Kluyveromyces lactis: one gene and its partner. The protein of the gene in region 1 interacts with the protein of each later gene in a pairwise test. Links are inferred from orthologs where the notes say so. Each region holds a gene or a part of one and is shown on either strand. Other genes may lie near its edges. The genes, in order: PEX11 and PEX10.

Region 1 (2,697 bases):
TATATGTGAAACTCAAAACTTGGTTTGAATTGCTCATATTTTTTCAAAAGGTCATCTGGATCCTCCTTAAACTGATATAACCTCTTTGGTTTCCGATTCAAAGTAGTCAACAACTGGTATATTTGTTGTTCAAAATGCAATTGCTGCTGCTGTTGTTGTTTCAAGCGCTGCTGGTACATCAATCTTTGCTGTTGCTGCAGCATATTCCCACTTACTGGCACCTGCATTTGTTGCTGTGAAGGAATAGAACGAGAGTCTCCTGTTTTTGCATGACTGGGAGGATATCCAGTGCCTGTGCTCATTTTTTTTTTCAATTCTTTTGTCTTTTTAACAATCTGCTGTATTTCGAATACCAGATCAGATTAACAACCGGCTTTTCAATGAAAAGAACAGAATGAAATAATCCCAAAGCGATTAGTCTAAATTGAGGAATATCCACCTATAAAAATAGTGGTGATGTTATCCCGCAGAAGCAATGAATTACGAATAGAAGTGCAAGAGTAGCCGCGAATATGGTGCTCGCTTAATGTCCTCGATGAAATGGAATTTCAAGTAGTTTTCAACAATTTCAACTTTGAAGCCTGTCGAAAAGTGTAAACATCAACAAGTGCGGGTAACATTGGTATTAAAATGATGAAACAATGGTGATAGTATATCCTAATAGCTGCACAGACATCTAGTTAATACGGAGGCATCATCAGAAATTATCCCGGTACCAGCTGAAATTACAATTATCAACATATCGAGTAATATGTTAAGTTGAAAGAAGATACATATAAATATATATATATATATAAACTAAATTAAAGGGAAGGAGAAGTCCTTTAAGCAGTCTTCCAGACATCTTGTAGACCAAAGACGGATGTAGCGACACCAGCCAGGGCGACACTTGATTCGTCATTACGCAAGAATTGCAAGTTATTTAAGACAATGAAAGTATCGATAGAATCCCAGATTAGTCTTCTGAATGCGGCGAATCTCTCATTGTAGTAAGCGGTCAACTTTTCAGAACTAGCCTTTTCGGTTGGTGCATTGCCCTTAGAACTCAAAGAGGCTTCGATCTTTCTTTGAGAAGTGTACAACTTACGGACATCGGTGATCAAACCAGCGATCAACGCAACGAACCAAAACCAGTTTGTGTAACGAGGAACTTTCTTGGCAGTAATAGGAGTAGCTGGGATTAACTTTAGGATGCGCAACAAGTTAATTTGATCCAAAGTTAAATACCCAACATAACCCACATTTTTGATTATGGACAACCATCTAACCCATTGATCTGGAGCAATCTTGTTATCGTATAATTTGGCTGCGTCCTGGATATGATTCAATGGCTTGAAGAATCTCAAAATCTTTCTGACAGACGTGAATTCAGATTGTAACTGTCTATTCAAACCAGATCTGTATTGAACGGCAAGGAATCTAACCAAGTACTGTAGCAATCTCAAGATCTTTTCTCTGCCGGCTGTTTTATTCAACAAAGAAATGAATTTGGTCAACGTAGGATGATAAATAACTGTGTCTAAAACCATTTTTGTTTGTAAAACTTATAAGTTTAGATGTGGAAGATGACTCAGGATAACTGGCTCAGTATTTCAATTGATTTCTGAAGGAGGTAGAATATTGGAAACAGTATATTCAAACAAAGCACTAGAGAGAGATTGTATCGCAGGTGCAACGTATTTCAACAGAGTCTGATGAGATAGGAATACAAGGAGTAGTGAAAATGCTTAAAACTGCTTGTCTTTATTTTCAGCAGTCATTTTCTACTTTATATATAAATATATATATATATATATAAAGTGTGATGTTATACTTCATATGTCAATGGGCATAGATCAAAGCAGGGTCAACAGAAAATAGTCAGGCTCTACGGTAAAAGGAGAGGATTTCCACTTAGCAGCGAAACGTACTTTATTATCAACTTCTTTCGGGTCCCCCACAAAAAATGGGAGGGACAAGTCAGAGCTGCGAAGTTACTAGCACGGAAGATCCTGCTGTATTAAGGACATTTGTACCGGGGGAAGACATGCAACAATAGCAATCTTACTAGGTGAAGACTGGGATCCCGGGAAAAAGGGCGACATAATATTTAGTATGTAGGCGCACATTTTTACGTGTATTTCGGACCAAATGTCCTTCCGCTAACAGCTTGAAAAGGATGGCCCGATTTGTTCCGAAACTCGAGAAAAAAAAAAGGGACAACGAGAAAGCCATGTATGCGAATCGTGTACAGTGATATAATGACGATTTTGTAGTGTGCAAGCATCAATCACGTGATTTATATCATCGAGATGCATTTCCTCTCAACATCGCGAAACACGTAAAAAAGAATCGTTAACTAGCGAGCGATGTCTTCTGCTTTATAATACTGCGTTCTTTTCTATTGTTTACATTTAGAGCCATCAAGCCCAAACCTAAAATCATTTAAAGCATTTGTATATCTCATATTGAAGAAACGCCAAAAGTAAGATTACAATTCCAAATACCAGCCTATATTTTGCCGGTTCAGCTTCCTGAGAATCGCCTTAGATTTATGCCGAGATGGGATACTATGATATAGATGATATACTGGCTGATGGTACTAGATTTCCCTGTAGATTCAACTATGACGTTCCTGGGTTGGGTTATCTGGAGGGAAACCCAGGCAGACCAATATCGAAAAATGCAAAACTAGAGTTACCACTTTGGATGGTCCAT
Region 2 (3,256 bases), about 1.3 Mb from region 1:
TTCCAGTCCTTCTTAATCATCAATGACCTATTTAACAAAAACGAAATTTCTGCTCAAGAGCTTCAATCCAAATATGAAGACTTGTTTAAGCAACACGCGGATGATATACAATTACTAATTTACGATTTATCGGAGTTATATCATTCAACTTCGGATAAACACAAAAGATTGCGTGCTATATACGAAGGCATTATGAAGAAGAAAGAGAATGCAGGGAAATTCAAACCTCTCGTCGCCGATTCATCATCTTCGGTTAACGTAGTTTATGGTAAATGGGGTAAAAAGAGTTCTTCTGGTGTTGGCGGGTCGAACGTGAAGTTCACGTCTCTACCAGCTGTATCCGAACCTATATTCTCCTCCAAAGCCTCGTATACTAATTTGCGGAAAAATGGCTCTTCTTCACCGTCCTCTCCAGTTATTAGGAGCGGTTTGACTTCCAATTCATCGTCATCAACTTCTTTAAACTATGCGAAGAAGAATCAATCACCGCCAGGTTCTTCAACCGTTGTAGTGAATTCACAACCGAATGTGACAGCTATCAAATCACCTAATCCAACCAGCTTCCCCAAGTTACAAGCTACTAAGAAAAAATTTGTTGCACCTCCAGTGAAACAGACTACCATACCAAACCCATCCACTTGGGGTAAGCCTCAAAACGACAACGATTCTATCAACTTGGATTCGTTAGACAATGCATTACCAGCTAGTGGTAGTAAGAAAAAGAGCAAACAAAAACAACTACTGTTCCATATTGGCATATAGATTTAACCCCGTTATATACAGCAGATTGTTTTAATAATACAAGAAAGCTCGCTGAAACATTTAGATATTCTTCTAAGCTTTATCTAACAGGTATCGTCAGCTGTCTCGGACACCTTTGCCTGCATAATGGACACTCCTGTCTTTCTAACGTCCATTCCATGATACAATCCCAGCAGAAAAGGTGACCACACGGAGTCGCGCTGGGATCCAGCATATAGTTAAGACATAAAACACACTTACGTGAATCCTCTTTGATGAAAGGTAGGACTTCTAGATCGCTAAGATCTTTTGAGGTGTGTTTTTTAGCTAATGCACTTAAACTCTTGTGGCTCTTCCCATCATCTGTTCCAATTCTGTCAGCGATGTATTCTGCAATCTGCGGTAAAAGCTTAGAAGCTAATTGCATACCAAGTATAAAACCAAGAATCTTGTAGTTTTGCGATGACTTCTTCTTGAATTCTACCTCATTCTTGTTCATTTCATGGCCAACCACATATCTCATTCCAAATATTCTCTTTGAGATATCATAATACTGTCCGCTCAAGTAGAATATAATTAAGTGCAAATTCAAAGTGGAATCCAAGATGTCCCTGAAACTCTTGCCATTGAATACTTTCAAGAAACCAGATCCCCTCTCATTGAGCTTATACTTGTAGAATACTTTCGATAATATCCACGGTACCCCACAATAACTGATAGCGAAACCAATCCTTCGCAGGAGTCTCGCAACACCTTTTCCTCGCCTATCAACATACGCCAAATCAACGTACTCTTCTCCAAGCGTTCTCCTATACCTTAGTGTTGTAATTGACAAGTATATCAACTTGCTGAGGATCATTATCTCACTAACATACCTGTTAGTGAACTGTTGTCCCTTAACTTTCCGTAGTACATCCTGGATCTTTTGTAACAGCAAGTTTTCCACAGTATCATCCTTTTGATGCGCCTGAACTATACTAGGTGCATCAGCAAATGGGAACTTCATGTCTGGTGCCATTGCTTGTCTCTCGTCAGTTTGTGTTCTTATTCGTTTTTGAAGATGTTAGATGGTTGAAATTGATCAATTGGAGAAATGAAGTTTTATTTGATTAATCATAGGGTTCGAAACCAGAGATAACTAAACCCGATCTAACATACAGTTGTTTGGGCTGGTACCGATAGTTCAATTCTGTGAATTTATTCTTTTTGTAATTCAATAAAGATATCAACGCTATGAATAAAGTTTGGGATAGAATTGTTGGCAGTGATAGTGCCGATGCTCAAAGTGTATTGAAAGAAAGATGTTCATCTCCGAAGGACGTGACGGATTTGTTGCACGTTATTCAAAACTGGACCTCAGAGATACATAACAATGGCGAGGAAACACGATGCTGGAAGTGTGTGCCGATGCTTGCCGGTTATGTGAAGGATTGGGGTCAATTGGAGTTTCTTTGCAGAAGAATACTTTTAAGAAGTAGCATACAAGAGATACGGCCATTACTTCTTGTAACGATGAAATCGTTGATGTCCAACCATTCAGATAATACGGAGCAGAAGTGTGGGAATATACTACAACAATTGTTAATTGAAGCCGAGGAAGATTCTGGCAATGTTTCTTTACGTTTGCTTGTAGATGCTATGTCTTTGGTGTTCCCTATCTGCCTTGGCGTTTGTAGAGACATGTTTCTTTCGACAGATTTCCAGGACATATTGACTAGGAATTTGAATTCTTCAGCGGATGATGAACATCTTGTAAACGGGGCTCTTCGTCTCTTGGCTGTTTCCTGTATTGACGAAGCAGTCAGAAGATTCATTGCAGAGCATTACCTTAAGACGTTACAACAATCATTTAAGGTCGAGAAGTATAAAGTACTGACTGCGTTGGTTTTGATCAAGATCTGGTCATTCACTAAGATAGAAAAGGAAACTCTTAACTCTTGCATCAACCTTTTCATCGACTCGCTTTCGAATGGCGAAAATATCGAGATTAATACTGAAGCTTTAGCTTACTTGACATTGAAGCCCTCTGTCAGAGTCTTGCTACGAGGTAACGGTGATGTATGTTTGAAAATAATCGAGCTGATCAAGTCACAGGACACTACACCGACTGATCTATACGGACTCTTGATTATATTAGCAAACGTAAGTGAGCACCCGTCACAGAATGAGGATACAGTCGATAAATTAAAAGCTTCATTGAAAACCAACCAAGAAAAGAATGACGAGCCGACATTGGAAAATGTTAAGGACATAGAAGAGTTTAACCGTGATTATATTATCGATTTAGACTTGATCGGTTCTTTAAAATCGATAAAACTATCCACCTCATCTTACAATCAAGCCATAAGAATCATATATAATGTGACAAGAGATAAAACACAGATATCAGAATGTGTGAAACAGGGTGCTGGATTGATGCTCTTGGTATTTTTAGCACAAAAAAGGAACCTTTCTAAAGATGAATGGTATCTTCTATCGATAAGAGCACTATCGAAAACACTCATCTATGTGAATC

Evidence for each region.
Region 2: the proteins of PEX11 (region 1) and PEX10 interact in a protein complementation assay, tested with the Saccharomyces cerevisiae proteins (2 studies listed by BioGRID). The link is inferred for Kluyveromyces lactis from reciprocal best matches to the Saccharomyces cerevisiae genes PEX11 and PEX10.

The regions. Positions count from the first base shown.
Region 1 is NC_006041.1:176,690-179,386, forward strand, and holds PEX11 (Pex11p), read right to left. Parts: upstream 1,530-2,697; coding exon 825-1,529; downstream 1-824. Other genes in the region: SPT20 (Spt20p), read right to left, coding at 1-302; DNA replication protein PSF3, read left to right, coding at 2,542-2,697. UniProt on the Saccharomyces cerevisiae protein: Involved in peroxisomal proliferation. Promotes peroxisome division and biogenesis.
Region 2 is NC_006041.1:1,480,531-1,483,786, forward strand, and holds PEX10 (ubiquitin-protein ligase peroxin 10), read right to left. Parts: upstream 1,760-3,256; coding exon 842-1,759; downstream 1-841. Other genes in the region: E3 ubiquitin-protein ligase HEL2, read left to right, coding at 1-762; SHE4 (She4p), read left to right, coding at 1,975-3,256. UniProt on the Saccharomyces cerevisiae protein: E3 ubiquitin-protein ligase component of a retrotranslocation channel required for peroxisome organization by mediating export of the PEX5 receptor from peroxisomes to the cytosol, thereby promoting PEX5 recycling.